Linked DNA regions of Sus scrofa. The protein of the gene in region 4 interacts with the protein of the main gene of each other region in a biochemical or structural test. Links are inferred from orthologs where the notes say so. Each region holds a gene or a part of one and is shown on either strand. Other genes may lie near its edges.

Region 1 (5,120 bases), on a different chromosome or scaffold from region 4:
GACTAAAATCATGAGGAAGAACAGACCGGTCTTCTGGACATTGCCACTGGGATTGTACACACACACTCACATACTCGCATCATGCAACAATCATAAGCACCCACCGTGAGAAGAACCACTGCCCTCCCTTCACACTTCCAACCAGGGCGGGGAAGGAATCTTTTTGCCAAACAGGGTGTGGCCTGTCAAGAAAGCTATGGAAGTGTTTTTCCTCCTCTTGACCCAGGAGGAATCGAGGCCAGCAGGATCGTGGGGACTTAAATTCTCAGGAAGCTTGGGCCTCCCATTGTGGCTTAGCAGCAACAAACCTGCATCCATGAGGATGCAGGTTCAATCCCTGGCCCTGCTCAGTGGGTTAAGGATCCAGCATTGCCGCAAGCTGTGATGTAGGCTGGCAGCTGTAGCTCTGATTCAACCCCTAGCCTGGGAACCTCCATATGCCGCACCTGTGGCCCTAAAAAAAAAAATTCTCAGGAAGCCAAAGTACCCCTCTGCCACACAGGGCACTGTGGTCAATGTGAAAACACAGGCGGTGCCTTTCAAAGGGCAGGTTCATCTGTGGGTTGGATGTACAATTATCTGCCCAGAAGAAGACGTGTAAGCAGCGACCTCAGCTCTTCACGTCCTTTCCACCAACAGGGCCTGGCTGGCAGCTCACTAGATATTTCTGGGAGCAAGCTAATTAAATATTAACCATGCACAAAACCTTATTCCTACATCCCTCCATAAGTCACTTTGAAGACAAGGGAATCTAGACATGAGCTCCATCTTTCCAGAAAAAAAGAACCCTGGAATGGGTAAATTCTAGGAGATTCGCCTATTAGAATTATTCAGCATAAGTAACCCTCTCGGCCCCTGAGAAAAACCCAACCAGCAAAAACAAAACCCTCTTGTTTACTAAACCAACCACCAAAATGTGTGGTGCTGTATCAGAGACTGTTCCTTTTTGACATTCAGGAAGGTTTATAACAATTTAAGAGTAAGATCAATGAACTTGGCCCTTTAAACCTCACCTCCTCCATGTAGCAATCCGACCTCTTTATACCTCTTCCAAAGCACGGAAAAAAACGGAAGATCAGTGAATGAATAACGCTCTGACAACATCCAGATTCTCTCTGCCAATTAACTTTTTTCTCCCTGTCCTTCCTCAAGTTTCTGGCACAATTAATTTTGCATTAATATCTTTACACTAAATGCCACATTTGTTTTTTCCGTTTGTTTGTTTTTTTTTCTTTTTAGGGCGGCACCCGAGGCAAATGGAGATTCCCAGGCTAGGATCCGAGCTGCGTCTGTGACTTACACCACAGCTCAGGGCAATGTCGGATCCTTAACCTATGGAGCGAGGCCAGGGATCGAACCACAACCTCACAGTTCCTGGTCGGATTCGTTGCCACTGCACCACAATGGGAACTCCACCACATTTGTTTTTATGACGTTCCATCTTGGCTGAAAATACACCGTGGGCCAGATGATGATGATGATCACAGGGATAAATGAGTAATTAGTGGCTATAAGTTGGTTTAGCACTAGGCTTTTGTAGAGCCAAGGTTTTATTATCATTTTCCTGGTTAATCTCAAGCACAAAGGTTAGATGTTTCCCCTGCATTTTTTCTTACTTCAAAACGAAAGTGGCTGTAGGTTGCATGTGCTAACTTGATTTGAAAGCAACCACAGAAGTTACTGCTCTGGGCAGGGAGAGGTGGTAAGGAACTTGCTAATGGCAGACACATATGTCACCACCCTGCTTCAGACAGGGGTGAGCATGGTCCTTTTGGCTTATTTCTAAAGTAAAAAATGTTCTGCTGTTTGTTTCAGTCTTGGCTAACTTATTTTGGCAAATAAACAAGTAGGCTCTCCTCTCCCGGCCCCCAGGCATAAGAACACCTCAGTGTTTGTAAAATAAAAAGGAACAGAAAACCAGAAACACAGCAACGCCCTAGTCAGTGTGGTCTCAGTAGGAACACATGGAGGAATATACACCCCCGTCATTGTTTCATTTTTAAACTAAACTTCCCAGGATAGGCCACCCTCTGGAAGAGATGCCCAAGCGTGGGACGTGCAGGAAGGGAGCCCCAGGAAGTTTCTGTCAGGCGCCGGCATTTAATAAGGGGGTGTGAACCTGTTTCTATGTGGGCCAGCGCTCGGGCAAACAAGTCTGGCTACATACGTGAAACTTTTCGCCCAGCAGATAATAAGATATTGTGCGGCCCTGGAAAACAGCTCAGGAGAAAAGGAAGCAGGGAGTTTCCTTTAAGGAAATGCATTGCTTTCCCAAGGAGGGGGGCATTTTTGCAAGGCGTGTAAGAAGGTGGCAGGAGCTGGGAGGGGAGGCGCCGCCTGGGCAGAGAAATGCAGTCGGGTCGCCACCGTCGGCCGGACGCATCCAGGCCCGGGATGCGCCTTGATCCCCACCTGGTCCACCGCCCGGTCTAGGCCCCCTTCACCTGGGTCCCACTTTTCGCTACCTCGGCTCCCAGCCAAGTTGGTCCCCGTACGCATCTCAGTCCCTGGACTCCTCTGTCCCCGGCCACCTCGGTCCCTGACCACCTTGATCCCCGGCCGCATCTCAGTCCTCGGACACTTCTGTCCCTGGCCACCTCGGTCCCCAACCGCATCTCAGTCCCTGGACACCTCAGTCCCCCACCACCTGGGTCCCCAACCACCTGGGTCCCCAGTCGCATCTCAGTCCCCGGCCGCATCTTGGTCCCCAGTCACCTCGATCCCTCCCCACCTGGGCCCCGGGCGCCGGCGCGCGCTTCCGGTTCACCTGCGCGCTGGGCGGCTCGGGTGGCGGAGGCCGGGGAGCTAGGTGGCCGTGACCGAGAGGCAGCCGGGGGAGCGAAGTGGCCGGGGAGCGAGGTGGCCAGGAGGCAGCCAGAGCCCTGCGCGGTCAGAAGGCGGGCGCAGGCCGAGCCCCGAGGGACCCGTGTGAGGGGAAGGGGAGAGGGCGCCGCCCGCCCGCCCGCGGCCCCGCCGCTTGCCTGGGTCTTGTCGAACTGCTCGCGCTCGGCCTCCAGGCTGTGGCCCGGCCTGCGGCTCAGCACCCGCGCCGGCACGTTCTTGATGCTGTTCATCCTTCCGCCGCCGCCGCCGCCGCCGCCGCCGCCTGTACACCCAGCCCGGACTCAGAGAGTCTGAGCGATTCCAGGCCGACCGCCCAAACCTAGGCACCAAGAGGAGCCCGCCGCACAGCACCGCCCGCCTGCTGGGGGAGGAGCCGTCCGCCGCCCCGCCCCTGCCCGGGGGGCGGTGCCGGCCACCCCCCCGCCCCGCCCAGCCCCGGCCAGCCTGGGCACAGGTCCGAAGGGGGCCCCAGCCCTTCCACACCCCTAGCCATCGCTCAACTCTCCTCACGCGCACTCTCCACCCCAAACTCAGTAAGTCGGATCTGGTTAACTGGACAAAACCTAGAGCCAGTGAATCTACTCAATGGAAGCACAACTAGACATCTTTTCTTTCCTATATTTATGTGTCAAATGCATACAATTGAGCTGTCCACTCTGTGTGCATCGCTAATGTAACTGCAACTGTTATCAACGCGGGACTGTGGGATGAATTTTCAGAGACTGCAGGCTCCGCAGGCAGACACCCTGCCAGAGCTGAGGCAGGGCTGGGGCAGCCCACAGTCAGATCTGAACCACAGAGCTGGGCCATCAAACTGCATGAACAGATGACACAGGAGGTGGTGTGAGACTTTTAAAAACATTATTACTGGTTTGCTTTTTAAATTATTGGTCCACAAGACTTAAGTTTTAAAAAAAATCACAGTGTTTGCTTTCAAATGGTTATTTTGTTTCTGCTACCCTCAGCTTTCCTCTCAGAATATAGGTATGAAGTCACCCAATATAGGTACTAAAGACTCCCCTTGAGACAGTACCCTGAAGGTTGTCTACCTGTCTATTCTGTAACCTCACTGGTTCCTCACTGCCTAGTCCCAGAACTGATACCGGGAATGTGAAAGATGTATTTGACAAGCCTCTCCTCTCATTCCCCTAAGGAGAGGAATTAACCCTGCTTTACTAATTCCAATCACTGAAAAGCCTCTTTACTAGAAGAACAATAGCTAATATTTACTGAATGCTTATTATTTGCTAGGCACTGGGCTAAATCCTTTACATGTATTATTTCATAATCAATACCATAATCAATAGCTGTGGTGGAAATAAGCCCTGCAGTGAAGGAACTTGCAGGCTCCAAACTTTTTTTTTTTCCTTTGGCTGCACTCAAGCTGCTACAGTGACCTGTGGTGCCATAGTACTCCCAGGCTCCTTTTTCCACACCCAACAAAAGCACTTATCCTGTGAACTTCACTCTTAACACAGCATCTTTTTTTTTTTTTTTTTCTTTTTTCTTTTGGTCTTTTTGTCTTCTCTAGGGCCGCTGCCACGGCATAGCCACGGCATATGGAGGTTCCCAGGCCAGGGGTCTAATTGGAGCTATATCTGTCAGCCTACACCAGAGCCACAGCAATACAGGATCCGAGCCACGTCTGTGACAGCTCAGCTCATGGCAACACCGGATCCTTAAGCCGCTGAGCAAGGCCAGGGATTGAACCCTCAACCTCATGGTTCCTAGTTGGATTTGTTAACCACTGCGCCACAACGGGAACTCCACACAGCATCTTCTTTTAAACCAGGCAACAACTCCTCTGGGTCTAGAACATCTACTACAGCAACCAGCAACCAACTACCACTCTTTCCAATAATAAAGAGTTTATTGGCGTTCTCATTGTGGTGCAGTGGAAATGAGTTTGATGAGGAACCATGAGGTTGCGGGTTCAATCCCCGGGCTCGCTCAGTGGGTTAAGGATCTGGCGTTGCCGTGAGCTGTGGTGTAGGTCGAAGACATGGCTCAGATCTGGCATGGTTGTGGCTGTAGCATAGACCAGAAGCTGTAGCTCCTATTTGACCCTTAGCCTGGGAACCTCCACATGCCACAGGTGCGGCCCTAAAAAAAGAAAGAAAAAAAAAAGAGTTTAATACTGTGGCAGGTGCTGTACTCAACATTGTCAGGGTCCCAGAGCACTTGGCTAAAACATCTCTAATGAACTGTACTCTGTCTGTAGGGAAGATTTTCAGGCTGCTAGGGGGCAAGGACCACCCTGTCTTACTCAGTTAAAT
Region 2 (5,138 bases), on a different chromosome or scaffold from region 4:
CTCAGAGAGGGGAGCCCCACCCACACATGAGGATGACTCAACCGCCCTGCCTTGCCCGCAGGCCTGGACCCATTCTCTAGGCTGCACGGCTCTTCCATTATCCACCAATTCGGCTAGCAGACTGACGACCTGGGGCTGGATGTGTTATTGCGGAAGGGCTGAGCCACCTGCCAGGTAGACCCTGAAGCAGATGTTTAAGCCTGGACACGACAGCAAGAAGCTTAAATTCCTAGATGTGCAGTGCCTCAACCCTAACCCCAAGCCAGAATGGAGGAGGCAGGTCATGGTGGCTGTCCTCCGTCCTGATACCCAGGCTAAAACCACACAGCACCTTGTTAGAATCTTTTTTTATTCAGAAAAAAAAAAAAAAAAAAAAAAAAAAACCCAAAAAACAAAAAAAGTTTTCCAACCACACACAGGAAAGGGTATGGGTTGGGGGAGGTGTCTGTCCATCCAGCCCTGGCCCCCAATCCACGTGGTTTTGGCAGCAATAAGGGGTGTGGGGTAATGGCCCAAAAAATAAAAATGGTGGATGTGTGTGTGTGGGAAGGAGAGGGGTGCAAAAGCAGTGGGGAGTGAAGGGGAGGGACAGACGAGGTCAGTACTGGGAACGCCGCAGGTGGGAAGCCATTTCATAACATTTCTTGTTGATCATACCACCGTGGACACCTTCTTTGCCCATCAGCAGGACTAGCGCTGGAGGAAAGAGAAAGGAGGCTAGGACCCAGGTGTCACAATCCCACTCCCGCCAGCTGTTCAGCAGCTGTCCAGCCCTGGGGGCTGTAACCCAACCTCATCTTTCCCAACCCCCCACACACAGGCAGGCTGTCAGTCACCCTGAAACAATAGGGCTTTTCAAAAGGGGAAAATCAAGCTTAAAGGCTGGAAAGGAACACAGTAAAATTTAGGGGTCAAAGGCTCGCAGACAGTTGACTCATGTGTTCAGGCTAGAAATGGCTGTGGATGAGCCTGCCACCTCCAAGTTTTAACAAAGAGCCCCAAAGACAAGAGCTCAAGTGCCGACTTAGAACTAACAGCCTACCTCCTCCAAGAAAACCAGAGAGTTTCCCAGCTAAAAAGACTCAAGGCAAGAAGGAACTTAAGAGGTAATACAGTTCAACTTCTTTCTAAGATGAGGAACTGAGACAGAACTAGAGGGACAATCCAGCGTCCCAGGCCTGATCCCTTCATACTGGGGAATCCACAAAGAAAACCCGAAAGATTAGCAGAAGGAGGTCCATTAGGGAAAGGGCAAAAAACTCAGAAACTCACTCTTGGCAGTCATGGTGACAGTGATATTGAAGGTGGGGGCTCCGCCAGTGCTCTTGGTACGAAGATCCATGGTAAATTCCCCGTCCTGCAGCAGTGAGTCCCGGATCACAGAGCATTTCTGGCCCCCAAGCGTTAGCCCATTCACGAAAAAACTTGACCGGTCTTTGCCAACCAGGACACCAACCTCAGCTGGCTGGAAGGGGAACCAAGCACCATCAAGTTAGTCAGTACCCCAAGGTTCCCACCTTCTCCAAGGACCCACCTGCCTTCCATTTCTTCAGGAAGCTAACCCCCCTGGGAGGGGTGTATGTTATGTGCTTTGTACACACCAGTGAAATTTGAGCAACTCAGGACTGTCGGAAGTTCGTGCACAAAAAGATCATGATCCTCAAACTTAGGAGAATGGTAACAGAAAGGGACGACATATTCCCCTGGAGACTTAGATGTCATTTCTTGGGAAAGCAAACCCAGGAAATAAAGGGGGCCAAAAAGGAGTGAGGAGAGTGGAGTGGAATGGACTGGAGAGCCTTTGGATGCTCAGAAGTCTCCTTCAGGAAAAGCAGAAGCGAAGAGGGGAAGGGAGGGGGCGGGCGAAGCAGGAGAAGCAACTTTGCCCTTATTTGGTCAAAGGTTCTACAGGAGTTGTTAGGGGCCCGGACGCCTGGGTCTCTAAGTAACCTTGAGTTCAGGTCCAGGTATCTGTGCTCTAAGAGGAGGAAGCAAGATGTCTGGGGGCATTCCGGGAAAGTTGAAAAACTTTTGGAGGGGGCCTGGGGCTAGACCCAGCAAGCCAGCTCTCGGGTCTTGATACCCCAGGGAAACTCTCTCCCCTCCCCCTTACACCCCAAATCCCCACATCCGGTCCCCTCCCGCCCGGAAATCCCCTTCCCCCCCTTTCGAACTTCCGCTCCCCCTCCCCACTTCCGGGCAGTGTGGACTGGGGAGGTGGTGAGGGGACAGCAGAAGTCATCCCTTACTCCTTCACTGATAATTCAGTCCTAGAACTTCTCACAAAGTTCCCCTGCTCCAGGCCCCGCCGGATGGCGGGAAGGGAGGGCGAGGGGACTTCCGGGATCGGTCTCACAGGAATGTTGAGTCTAACGTGCCGACTGCGGGGGGGCGGAGGGCGTGAGGCGGCCTAGCCCTCTCTAACGGAGCTGGGAGGGGCAGGGAGCGCAGAGGACGGGCATGGGACCTTGGCCACGCGAGCCGGGCTCCCACCGCATAAGGAGGAACAATGGTGGAGGGGGCGCGAGCAGGCGGGCGGAAGTGGAGCTCAGGGTCCAGGGGTCCCCGAGTCCCTTCTCAATCACAATCCCGGGTTGAAACTGCAGCGTGTGCCCGCCCCGCCCTGGAGGAGACGGAAGTGGGCCGCCGCACCGGGCGGCGCGCCCCTCCCCGCCCTGTGCCCCGGATGTAACGCCCCGTCTCGGAGAGCGGGGCCGGCGGGCTGGCCGGGCGCCGCCGCCCGGGACGTACGACTCGGGGGGCCCCGGGACGGACCGGCTCACGTGCAGCCACCATTCGCGCCACTTCCAGGGCCAGGAGCGACCACGGCTTTTCGCTGCGCTCTCCAGAGCGTGCCCGCCCCCACCCAAGTCCCTCCCTCAGGGTCCAAGCCCGGCCAGTTCCCCAGACCCCGCAGGCCTCGCAGTACCGTGATGTTGACGAAGGTTTTCCCGGGGACGGCGGCCCAGACGGAGGGCGAGTCCTTATAGCCCACGATGGCCGCGTCCTGACAGGTCCCGTCCGCCATGAGGTTGTCGATGTAGGCGTTCCACCCGGCCATGGCGCTGCTACTGGGGCTGCTCTCGGGGCTACTGCTGGGGCCGCGGGTTGGGCTCGGGCTGCCTCGGACTGGCGGGCGGGGGAAGGCAGAGAGCTTGGGGCACGCGCTGCCGTCCGGACCGCGGCTCTGCTAGCTGTGCAGCAGCCCTCGCACCGCCACTTCCTGCTCCTCCCCACCCCCCTAGATTTTTATTTGCAAAGGGCGGTGGGGGCGGGGCCTACTCCTCATCCCCTCCCTCCTCCTTCTCGCCTGCCCAGATACCGAACTTTGCAAATGCAATTTAAAAAATCCCTCCCCCTATTGCAAAATTTGCCGAGTTCGATGGGAACCGACGCTGAAAGGATGGGAGGCGGGGGGGTTAGAGTTGGGGCTCGCGCCAATTTGCATAGAATATTAGACTTTGGTGTAGGGAAAGAGAGTGAGCCAGAGGGAGGAAGGAAAGTGAACGGAGAAAGAACTAGCGAGCTGCAAATTTAGCAGATTAAGAGGGTTCGGGGAACTCAGGGTTAAACGGAACGACTCCCCCTTCCCCCACCTCTGCTGTGGGGTTGCGGGGGGAGGAACGGCAGGCGGCGGCAGCGCGTGCGCCCGCGCCTGCGCCGGGGCAGAGAGCGAGAGCGCGTGGGGCGGTTAGGGCCGGCCGCCGGCTTCGCGGGCGCGCGCCGGGGCGCGCCGGGCCGGGCCGAATTGGACCCCCAGCGAAGGAAGGCGGGCCGGGGACGTGTCTGCTGCTGGGCGGAAGGGGCGGGGGTGAGGCGCGCACGTTACCGCTTCTGCACTCTTGATTTTATTTATTCAAGAAATAAAGGCAGTAAAGGGAAATTTGACAAAATACCCCGACCATTTTCCAAGTTGAAGGCGCCCACCGGGGACACTTCTGTCCTCAGCATCTGCACGGCGGCATAAGTTGCACTCGCTGGAGCCCACCCGACTCCACGGGGATTATCCCTCGCGCTGGATCAGCTCCAGCCTTAGGCCTCACTCCATGACTGTGCCCCGGTCAGCAGTTTGGGTCGCCGTCCGTCCCCCTTACCCTGTCTCTGCAGAGGTCACTGAGCCTCGGCGCCCGCGGGGCGCGGCGGGCGGGCCTATTTTTCAAGGCGGAAGAATACTAGGGTTTCAACATGCAACTTTTTCAAGAAGAGGAAAGTCCCTTCTACCCTGGCCCCCTGGGCCTTTTTCCTCTTCTTTTTTCAGTAAAACTTATGCTAAGAAATTGTGTGCGAAGAGTTCGTTCGCCGCCCGCTGGGAAGCGGGTGGGGTTAGGACCCGGCTTAGGTGAACCAGCCCCGGCTGGCCGCCGGGTCCGCTGAGGGGCTTGGCCGCTTCCGGTCCCTCGGGGGAGGGGCGCCTCCCGGGCGTGAAGGGGCTTCGTACCTTCCCCGTCCCCCCCAGAGGGGTGCGGTGCTCCCGAGGCCGCTGCGAACCCTAAAGGCACCCGCCGCCCCCCGAGCCTGGTTCCTCGACAGCCGCCGTGGCTGAGTCACTGGCCGGCCCGGGCGGGGCCGCACGCGGGCACGTGGCGGCGCTCCCCGCCCGCCGTCTCCTGACCTCTGGCCTGCCGCACCCCCTACCCCAGGGTGGAAATCTCCCGAGAGGGAGCGGCCAGAGATAAGGGGGGGGTGAGATGGAAGACGGGAGTAGGGATCCTGGGGTGGGGGCTGGGAGACCGACCCCGCAGGGCAGGCGGGGTGGGGAGGAGAGCTCGGGAAAGGGCCGGGGGTGAGTCACCAGGCGCTGGCCGCTCCGGCGCCTGCGGGAAGGACCTCCGAATCAGGGGCGACGAGCCGAGGCGCCGGTGACCCTCGCCCTTTGGCTGGCCAGCCTGCTGGCCCAAGCCCCAGCGTGCCCTCCGCTCCCGGCTGGGTTTGCAGCCCAAGTCGGCACAGACTTCACTCCCGCCCAACACGCCCAGGCGGAGAAATTCACCAAATTCCGAGACGCGTTTTCCCGCAGGGCTGTTAGCAGACCACCCAACTGCCCCCCCCCACCCGCCACGGCGGTCAGACGCTCAGAAAGGGCCACACTCCTGTTCATTTTTTTTCACTTTGCTTGAACACCATTCATTGATAGACTG
Region 3 (4,501 bases), on a different chromosome or scaffold from region 4:
CCCCATGCTGTGGGCGTGGCCAAAAAAAGGAACCTAATTTTATTTAGTTTAGTTTAGTTTTTTTTGGCCACACCTGTGGCAGGCAGAATTCTTCTGGCAAGGGACTGAACCTGTGCTACAGCACTGACCCGAACTACAGCAGTGACAACGTTGGATCCTTAATCCACTGAGCCACCAGGAAACTCCAAAAGAACATAATTTTATTTTGTTGTATTTTTTGTTGTTGGTTTGTTTTTTAGGGCTGCACCCACGGCATATGGAAGTTTCCAGGCTAGGAGTCTAATCAGAGCTACAGCTGCCGGCCTACACCACAGCCACAGCAACTGGGGATCCGAGGTGCATCTGTGACCTACACCACAGCTCACGGCAACACCAGCTCCTTAACCCACTGAGCAGGGCCAGGGATCAAACCCGCATCCTCATGAATCCTAGTCGGGTTCATCAACTGCTGAGCCAATCCAAAACCACAGAGAAAGGACCACTGTCACCCACAGGCACATTCATCCTGCATGTTTGCTTTACGCATATTAGATCACATCATAGCCATGGCCAACATGTGTCAAGGACCCCTCGCTGACAGTCAGGCCCCGTTCCCAGAGCTCTGCACGAATTAACTTATTTTGCTCTCACTTCATCTACATTCTCCCCTCATCCCATTTTCCCAATGAGAAAACCGAGGCACAGACAAGCTACATCAGTTGCCCAATGCTCACGACGGCTAGGTGGTAGAGCCAGGATTTGAACTCAGGTACTTTGAACCTGGATGCTTAGCCCCTTGCTCTCTGCTGACATAAATAACTGCCTGGCAAGACTTATCCTTCATGAACATCTTTTCAGGTCAATAAAGGCATTTCTCCAATACTATTTTCAGGGGCTATCCCGTGACTTATTTTTGTTTACAAAGACCACATCAGTGAACACCCTGGAAGCGACATATTTGTTTGATGCCCAGAAGAGGACTTTCTGGGTCAAAGGGCACACGTCAAATCATTCCCTGGACTCCACAGGAAGAGATGCTTTCTGGATTAATATTAGCTTGGCAAGACATATTAACTCCAAAAGACTCAATAACAGAAAAACACAAGAGTTTGGGCAGGTATTGTAGAGACTCGCCCAACAGCAACTCCACACTGCCACAGTCAGCTGCTAAAATAGCTACATGATAAGACCCTGGGCAACATGCAAGTTATCAGCCACACACCGGTGTGGCCAGCAACGACCTGCCCATTGGGTCCAAGACCTCGTCCTTAAGCTGGGGCTGGGTTGCTGTGACACCCTGATGGTGCCAGTCGGATGGCATCGACTCCACAAACCACAGCATTCATGTCCACAGCATAATTTCTTGTAACGGAGTCATTTAAAAAAAAAAATGCAATTTTAGAACTGCTCTGGTGCTCTGAGCTGGGGCAATGAGGCTTGGCTGCATTTAAGTGCTGCCAAATTTCCCTCCCCAAAGGCCGCCCAAACTGAGGCTTCCCGTTGTGCGAGCCCAGCTTGGGGCGGGCGAGCTGTGCCACGGTGTGGCCCAGGACACCTACTTGGGTGGCTTCTCCACGGTGCGGTAGGAATTGAAGGACTGGAGCTGGTTCTGGACCCCGCTCAGGGAGTTGGCCAGCTGCCGGTCGTTGAGAGTCACAATCGTCTGCTCAATCCACTGCAGCAGCTCCGAGGCCAGGGACTCATACTTCTCCACCAGGCGCTCGGCCTCCATGGCGTGGTCCAGCACCTGCAAGACAGTGGTGTGGGCTCCCCGGTCCCGTCCTCCCCCGCTCCTGCTTTAAAGCTGTAGGAGCCCTCGACCAGGCCTCCTCCGGCCTTGACGCCCCGCCTCCGCCCCGGTGAAGGCTACCTTGCCGATTCTTTTGCCTTCCACGGCCAGGGCCTTCATCTTGGAAAAGTAATGGTAGTAAGTAGCCACATAGGTAATAATTGATTTCTCATCTGGTTGGTCCACGTTCACGTCTGAGAAGAAGGAGCGCTCAGGTCAGGCGGAGACTAGAAACCTGCCTCCCAGAAGCACACCCACAACTTGAATCACAGACTCCAGTCCCGGGCCCTCCCAGCCCTCGAAGGCTGACATCTTTCCAGCTCCCTTCAGAGCAAAATGACAGAGAAACCACTTGGACTAAAAGTGCATGATAAGCTAACCTTTTTTTTTTTTTTTTTTTTTCCCTTGCTAGAAACAAGCAGAATATAAAACCCAGAAGCCCGAGGAGGCTTCTATCCATTATTCCCAGTGGAGACCAAAATTGGTCATTGGGAGGAAGAGCGACAAGGAAAGAAAGAGCATTCCAGTTTGGGGATGGATCATGGACCTATGGGCTAGAACGATGTCCATGAAGTCATCCAGTTTAGTGGCAGCAAGACAGAATGAACAAACAAAGCCTCCTGAACCCAGGATGCCCATAGGGAGGGGGCCAGGGAGCCCTGGCAGCAGGGACAGAGGCCAGGCCTCAGGGCCATCTTCCAGCAGAGTCATGTCTAGTTCTGACCGCAAGCCCAAAGTTCAGCTGTGGGCCCAGAAGGGGAGTGTCCTTCAAGCCAAATTAACTTCTACCACGAGGACCAAGGACCAAGGCTGACTATGACTTGAAATCCCAGAGTTCTCGTTTTTCTTTCTTTTTTTTGGCCACCCCACAGCTTATGGAGTTCCCGGGCCTGGGGTCAGATCTGAGCCACAGCTATGACCTATGCTACAGCTGCAGCAGTGCCGGATCCTTTAACACCCTGTGCCAGGCTGGGGGTCGAACCTGTCTCCTCCCGCTGAAGAGACACCACTGATCCCGCTGCGCCCGAACAGGAATGCCCTTGGGTTCTCTTAATTAGGCCAGACTGTATCCTACCTTCGGGGAAGACTATGAGAGCGAAAGCCCTCCTGAGCACCTCTGACACCCCATAGGCAGGCAGGAGCCATGGACGACCTCTCAGAAAGATACGGAAGGAAGGTGTTCCTGTTGTGGCTTAGTGGCAACAAACCCACTAAGTATGCATGAGAACGTGGGTCGGATCCCTGGCTTCACTCAGTGGGTTAAGGATCCAGTGTTGCCATGAGCTGTGGTGTAGGCCACAGACGCAGCTCGGATCTGGTGTGGCTATGGCTGTGCGGTAGGCCGGGAACTTCCATGTGCCACAAGTGCGGTCTTCAAAAGACAACAACTCAAAAGTTACAGGATATTAGACTTTACTCAAATGTTCCTTATCACAGGTATGCTCCTCAAAGGCTCTCCAAGAAACCTCATGCTTAGCCTACTCGCCTCACTAGTTAGCCGATGTCTGTCATTCTGGACTAAGAGGGCAGGGGACCCGGGGCCGCAGGTGGAAGGGAAAACAGGGAGAAAATAGCAAAGACCCAAAGCTGCCCAGGGAGCTTCAGAAGGAGCATTTCCAGCAAGGAAGGTCCTTGGCCCTTCTGTCCTTCTGTCTTCTGGCTGCACCAACACTGCCCTCTGCTCTCCAGCAGAGGAGGCTGAGGAAGCAGGTTCTAGAGCCAGGCTGCCTGAATTTCAATCTCAGCTCCACCAGCCAGAAGCCTGGGGAAGTCACTTAACCTTTAGAGGCCCCTGTCTTCTCTTCCATAGACGGAGGATAATAAGGATATTGATTTCAAAGGGGGCATTGTGAGGACTCGGGGAATTGGAGCGTGGCAAGTGCAGTGCCAGGTGCACAACAAGAGCCCAGTGGCCGTTAGCAGTCTCGTCAGCCTTAGATCAGAATCACAGGGGCCGATCAGCAGGGTCAGCTGAACCTAAGGCCAGTGCTTGGTGAGACCTCAAAGTCACGTAACTTAATTTAGAATCCTAAAATTTTGGAATAAGAAGGTCCCTTAGACACCATGTAGACCAATCTTCTCATTTTATTTTATTTAATTTTCATTTTTAGGGGCACACCTGTGACATATGGACGTTCCTGGGCTAAGGGTCGGTCGAATTGGAGCTGTAGCTGCCAGCCTATGCCACAGCCTTGGCAACACCGAATCCGAGCCACATCTTTGACCCACACCATAGATCACGGCAACGCCAGATCCTTAACCCACTGAGCAAGGCCAGGGATTGAACCCGCATCCTCATGGATACTAGTCAGGTTCATAACCTGCTGAGCCATGATGGGAACTCCCACTAGTTGGGTTCTTTCTTTTGCTTTTTAGGGCCAAATATGCAGCATATGGAGGTTCCCAGGCTGGGGGTCAGATTGGGGCTACAGCTGCGGGCCTATGCTACAGCCACAGCAACGCAAAACCTGAGCTGTGTCTGTGACCTACACCACAGCTCATGGCAACGTCAGATCTTGAACCCACTGAGCGAGGCCAGGGATCAAACCAGCATCCTCGTGGATTCTCATTGGGTTCGTTACTGCTGAGCCACAAGATTCATTCCCTGCCAATCTTCTCATTTTAGAGATGAGGAACCTGAGCCACAGAGAAGCCAAGAAACTGGCTCTATGTCACAGAGTGGCTCTGTGGAGGGGCTGGGCTCGAACCATGTGACAGGGCTCTTTTTGCTAC
Region 4 (5,178 bases):
CCCCCACCCCAAGACCCCTCAGAGCTAAGAGGTACCCCAAATGCGCCCCCGTCCCCCACCCTTCTCCCCAGCACCCAACAACGCCAGCCACCACAAAGCCGTGTTTCTTTAAGGTGTGCACTTTATTGAACTGGTCTCAAGTCAGTGTACAGGTAAGCCCTGGCTGCCTCCGCACCTCAACCCGCTCCTAGGGGGACCAAAAGCCTTCATACTTCAAGTTGCGGGACAAAAAAGGGGATTGTGATGGCTGACCACTCAAAATAAAACAAACAAAAAGAACAAGTATTAAGGCGAAGATTAAAAAAAATGTTGGAGTACATAATTTACACTAAAGCGATGCTACTGCCCTCCTCGGGTGGACCTGGGCGAGGACTGGCCCTTCTCCTCAGGGGGAGGCGGGGCAGCTTTTGGGAAGGCAGGGACTTCCTGTAACAATGCATCTCATGATACTTGGAATGACTATTTAAAAAAAAAAAAAAAAAAAAAAAAAAAGAACAATGTACAATCAAAGTCCTCGGCCACATTGTAAAACTTTGGGGGATGCTCCATCCAACCGACTGCTGTCACCTTCACCGTTCCAGTTTTTAAATCCTGAGTCAAGCGCCAAAAAAAAAAAAAAAAAAAAATATCAAGACAAAAAAAAAAACCAAAAAAACAAAACCAAATAAAGCCATGCCAATCTCATCTCATTTTCTGCGCAAGTTAGGTTTTGTCAAGAAAAAGGTGGAATGCAACTAACAGTCCGCCTAGAAGCATTTGCGGTGGACGATGGAGGGGCCGGACTCGTCGTACTCCTGCTTGCTGATCCACATCTGCTGGAAGGTGGACAGCGAGGCCAGGATGGAGCCGCCGATCCACACGGAGTACTTGCGCTCTGGAGGCGCGATGATCTGGAAGGAGAAGGGGACAGTGAGGCGGGTGGCGGTCAGAGCCCTGGTCCCCAGAGCACCCGCTCCGCGGCGGCTGCCGTGGCACCCACGCCGCCCGGCCGCACCCGGCCAGCTCAGGCTGGGCACTCACCTTGATCTTCATCGTGCTGGGCGCCAGGGCCGTGATCTCCTTCTGCATCCTGTCGGCGATGCCTGGGTACATGGTGGTGCCACCCGACAGCACCGTGTTGGCGTAGAGGTCCTTGCGGATGTCGACGTCGCACTTCATGATGGAGTTGAAGGTAGTTTCGTGGATGCCGCAGGATTCCATGCCTGAGGGGGGAGAGAAGCCCGACTGAGCTTCCGCTGTGGCCACCACCGGGTGAGCCAGGGGGGGCGGGGGGAAGGCAGGGCCAGGGCTGCGTCCTCACCCAGGAAGGAGGGCTGGAAGAGCGCCTCGGGGCAGCGGAAGCGCTCGTTGCCGATGGTGATGACCTGGCCGTCGGGCAGCTCGTAGCTCTTCTCCAGGGAGGAGGAGGACGCGGCAGTGGCCATCTCCTGCTCGAAGTCCAGGGCGACGTAGCACAGCTTCTCCTTGATGTCCCGCACGATCTCCCGCTCGGCCGTGGTGGTGAAGCTGTAGCCCCGCTCCGTCAGGATCTTCATGAGGTAGTCGGTCAGGTCCCGGCCAGCCAGGTCCAGACGCAGGATGGCGTGGGGCAGGGCGTACCCCTCGTAGATGGGCACCGTGTGGGTGACCCCGTCTCCGGAGTCCATCACGATGCCAGTGGTGCGGCCAGAGGCGTACAGGGACAGCACGGCCTGGATGGCCACGTACATGGCTGGGGTGTTGAAGGTCTCGAACATGATCTGGAGGGAGGGAGGGACGCTGTCACCCTCGGGAAGCCGCCGGGGGCAGTCAGGCCGGACTGGGGACATGCAGAGAGTGCAAGGAACACGGCTAAGTGTGCTGGGGACCCCAGGTCGGGGAGTCACGTCAGACCTACTGTGCACCTACGGGATACACACTCCGAGGCCCCTTTACGGCAGCCTCGTCGGCTTTGTCACACGAGCCAGTGTTAGTACCTATACACCCACAGCACCTTATGCTTTTAACACCTAGTCAGAAAGGCAAACACGAGAAAGACTCCAGCTGGGGAAAAGCAAATAGAACCTGCAGAGTTCCAAAGGAGACTCAGGTCAGAGAAGAAAAGTCCTAGGAAAATGGCAGAAGAAAGAACAAGTGAGAAAGGGCGTGGCAAAGAGGGGCAAGAGAGGAGGGGGCGGCCGCCCGAGAGAGCCCAGTGGGCCACTGACCTGGGTCATCTTCTCACGGTTGGCTTTGGGGTTCAGGGGGGCCTCGGTCAGCAGCACGGGGTGCTCCTCGGGGGCCACACGCAGCTCGTTGTAGAAGGTGTGGTGCCAGATCTTCTCCATGTCGTCCCAGTTGGTGACGATGCCGTGCTCGATGGGGTACTTGAGGGTCAGGATGCCTCTCTTGCTCTGGGCCTCGTCCCCCACGTAGGAGTCCTTCTGGCCCATGCCCACCATCACGCCCTGCGGAAGGAGGGGCGAGGCGCCTTCAGCCCGGGCCCGGCCCCACCGGCCCCCACGCAGAAAGCCTCCCCCTTCCCTCCACCTGCTACCAAGACCCCACCCACCAAGTCAGACCCGAGGGCGGCGCCCTACCTGGTGTCGGGGGCGCCCCACGATGGAGGGGAAGACGGCCCGGGGAGCATCGTCGCCCGCAAAGCCGGCCTTGCACATGCCGGAGCCGTTGTCGACCACGAGCGCAGCAATATCGTCATCCATGGCGAACTGCAGGGGCAGCAGGACCGTGAGCCGGAGGCCGGGTGCGGCCGCCTCCGCCCTACTCACTTCCGGCGCGACGCGCGTTCGAGCCGCCAGGGGGCGCCGGCACGCGCCCAGATTGGGGACAAAGGAAGCCGGCCGGCCGCGTTATTACCATAAAAGGCAAACGCTGGTCGGAGGCGGCCCCGAGGCGCGCGGCAGGAAGCCAGGCCTCCGCCCCCTCCCCACTGGGCGCCAGCCCCGCCCCGCCCAAAAAGCGCCACTCGGCGGGCGCGCGGCGACCACACCCGGGGCGGCCCGTGGCTCCGCGAGGAAGTGCGCGCAGGCGCTCTCGCGCCGCGGCGACCCCACCCCTTCCGGCCGCCCGCCCCGCCCTCGCCTCCTGGGCCTACGGCGCACACGCACGCGCACTGGCGTCCCAGCCCCCACCCGGCTCGGCCACCGCGCCGCGCCCACCCACCCGCCCCGCCGCCCGGCTGCACTGCTCTCCCGCCGGCGGAGCGATCGGCCCGCTCGGACAAAGAATCGCCGCCGCTAGGGCTCCCAAAGAAACACTCTGGGAGCGCTCCCCGAGCGCAGCCCGGGCCCCGAACGAGGAGCGCATGAGTCCATTCCCGGCACCCGGCCGGCTGTCCACGGGGCCGGGGCGGAGGGGGCCACCTGCCCACAAGAGGCACGGGCCCAGCGCATCAGCGGCCCGGCCGGTGCGGGGACCCTACCTGGTAGCGGTGTAGACCGGCGGCGAAGGCGGAGCGGCAAGGGCGAGGGGCCTGTGCTGGCGGAGTGGACGCGGTCTCGGCTGTGGCTGTGCGTCGCGCCGCCGGGTTTTATGGGGCGCAGTCGCGGCGGCTCGAGCCATAAAAGGCAACTTTCGAAACGGCGAGCGCTGATTGGCCCCGCGCCGCTCACTCACCGGCCTCGCCGCACAGTGCAGCATTTTTTTACCCCCTCTCCCCTCCTTTTGCAAAAAAAAAAAAAAAGAAAAAAAAAAAAAAAGAAAGAGGGAGGGAGATGGACTGGCTAGGAGAGAGCGAGAGCGAGATTGAGGAAGAGGAGGGAGAGAGTTTTGGCGTCGGCCGCCCTTGGGTGCTGGGCCCCAACAGTGGGCCGCCGCCCGCCTGAGCAGTGTCGGGTCCGGCCCCGCTTGGCCAGGCCTGCACCCGGCCTGCTGGTCTCCGGGTCTCCCCACCCCGGCACCCTCCGAATGTGGATGCCCCAAAGCAGTGAGCGCCCCTGTGGGCAAGGGTCAGCACGGATGCGAGAGTCCCTGGTTGCTGTGGGTGCATGCTTAAGGAGCAGGTGGGGGAAAGGAGTGATGAGAGAGTCACCCTCCCCTTGGCGACATTAGCTCTGCTGCCCAGAAAGCCTGGGTAAGGGGGGGCCCCGACTGGGGGTGCTGAGCTTGCTAAGTGGGGGTGCTGAGCTTGCTAAGGGGGCACATTACTTAGAGACCGTGGGCTTGAGGGCTATGGTGGGGCATGCTTGAGTCAGGGGACTTGGAGACACGTAGCAGGGGCTTCAGGACTGCAGTCTCTAGGGACAGGACAGGCCCCAGGGGCTGGGGGCTGGAAGTTCCCCGTGAAGAGGGCTCCAGGCCTCCCTTGCTGCAGGCCCAGGAGAGGTGGGCTCCGTAGAGCAGAGAAGCTGTTCCCATGGAGCTGGGCTGCGGCTGAGGCTGCCTGGTCACACCCAGCCAAGGCCAAGCCTGGGCCATTAGCTGGCGACCCAGGCAGCTGCCAAGCACTGCTGGCTGCAGGCAGGCAGGGCCACTGAGCACAGCTCTGGGACCCACCATCCATCGTCTGTCTGTCACGTGCAGCCACAGCTGAACTGCCCTCCTAGACCATCTGGAGGCCACCAAGGACTGGGGAAGGACATTCAATGTGCCAGAGAGGAGTTAGGGGGAGGGGGGTGGGGCAGCAGGGACCAGCTGGGGCCCACTCCTGCCCTGGTCTCTCCACCAAACACGGGGTCAGACCTGGGTGCCCCCGGGTGTTCCCAGTGGTTCCCTGCTCTGGGAACTGCCTGTCCAGCAGGGAGAGCCTGCACCCAGGCGGGGGCCACCAGTGGGCAGTGAGTGGCCGAAGGAAGCCCAGCGGGGCAGCGTGGAGGTGCACCTTCTCCGAGGCCGTGACAAGCTGAATTTTCCCACAAAGGAAACAGGGCAGAGGGGTCCAGGTGGGGGCCCTGGCCTGCCCTCGGGCGTCTGTCTCCAGGTCTGCCTAGGGCTTTGCTACGCATAGTAGGTGCTCCTTGAGTGTGTGTTGAAACCAGCGAAAGATTAGTCCATATATGGGTGTGGAATCTGGCCAGGGAAGAGGCAGCTTGGTCCAGCCCCCTGTGGGAGGCCAGTGGCAGGGCACTTGGAAGGTTGCAGAGGCTACAAACAGGTAGGAAGGGTGACCGTCCCCCAGCGCACAGCAGAGCCTGCAGGCTCAGGGCCACCAGCTAGCATTCCCAGGGAACAACTCCCCCAACCCCGCCCCAGGCCTGGGCG

Evidence for each region.
Region 1: the proteins of ACTB (region 4) and HIP1R form a complex in vitro, tested with the Homo sapiens proteins (2 studies listed by BioGRID). The link is inferred for Sus scrofa from reciprocal best matches to the Homo sapiens genes ACTB and HIP1R.
Region 2: the proteins of ACTB (region 4) and PFN1 form a complex in vitro, tested with the Homo sapiens proteins (2 studies listed by BioGRID and IntAct, with this or other methods). The link is inferred for Sus scrofa from reciprocal best matches to the Homo sapiens genes ACTB and PFN1.
Region 3: the proteins of ACTB (region 4) and SPTBN2 form a complex in vitro, tested with the Homo sapiens proteins (2 studies listed by BioGRID). The link is inferred for Sus scrofa from reciprocal best matches to the Homo sapiens genes ACTB and SPTBN2.

Annotation. Positions count from the first base shown.
Region 1 is NC_010456.5:30,021,081-30,026,200, forward strand, and holds the start of HIP1R (huntingtin-interacting protein 1-related protein), read right to left. Parts: upstream 3,264-5,120; 5' UTR 3,075-3,263; coding exon 2,982-3,074; intron 1-2,981. UniProt on the Homo sapiens protein: Component of clathrin-coated pits and vesicles, that may link the endocytic machinery to the actin cytoskeleton. Binds 3-phosphoinositides (via ENTH domain).
Region 2 is NC_010454.4:51,960,765-51,965,902, reverse strand, and holds PFN1 (profilin-1), read right to left. Parts: upstream 3,262-5,138; 5' UTR 3,062-3,261; coding exon 2,930-3,061; intron 1,466-2,929; coding exon 1,273-1,465; intron 697-1,272; coding exon 599-696; 3' UTR 333-598; downstream 1-332. UniProt on the Homo sapiens protein: Binds to actin and affects the structure of the cytoskeleton. At high concentrations, profilin prevents the polymerization of actin, whereas it enhances it at low concentrations. By binding to PIP2, it inhibits the formation of IP3 and DG.
Region 3 is NC_010444.4:5,711,469-5,715,969, reverse strand, and holds part of SPTBN2 (spectrin beta chain, non-erythrocytic 2), read right to left. Parts: intron 1,963-4,501; coding exon 1,850-1,962; intron 1,727-1,849; coding exon 1,539-1,726; intron 1-1,538. UniProt on the Homo sapiens protein: Probably plays an important role in neuronal membrane skeleton.
Region 4 is NC_010445.4:4,086,859-4,092,036, forward strand, and holds the start of ACTB (actin, cytoplasmic 1), read right to left. Parts: upstream 3,526-5,178; 5' UTR 3,401-3,525; intron 2,688-3,400; 5' UTR 2,682-2,687; coding exon 2,559-2,681; intron 2,427-2,558; coding exon 2,187-2,426; intron 1,740-2,186; coding exon 1,301-1,739; intron 1,203-1,300; coding exon 1,021-1,202; intron 891-1,020; coding exon 747-890; 3' UTR 740-746; exon of another isoform or gene 104-739; intron 1-103. UniProt on the Homo sapiens protein: Actin is a highly conserved protein that polymerizes to produce filaments that form cross-linked networks in the cytoplasm of cells.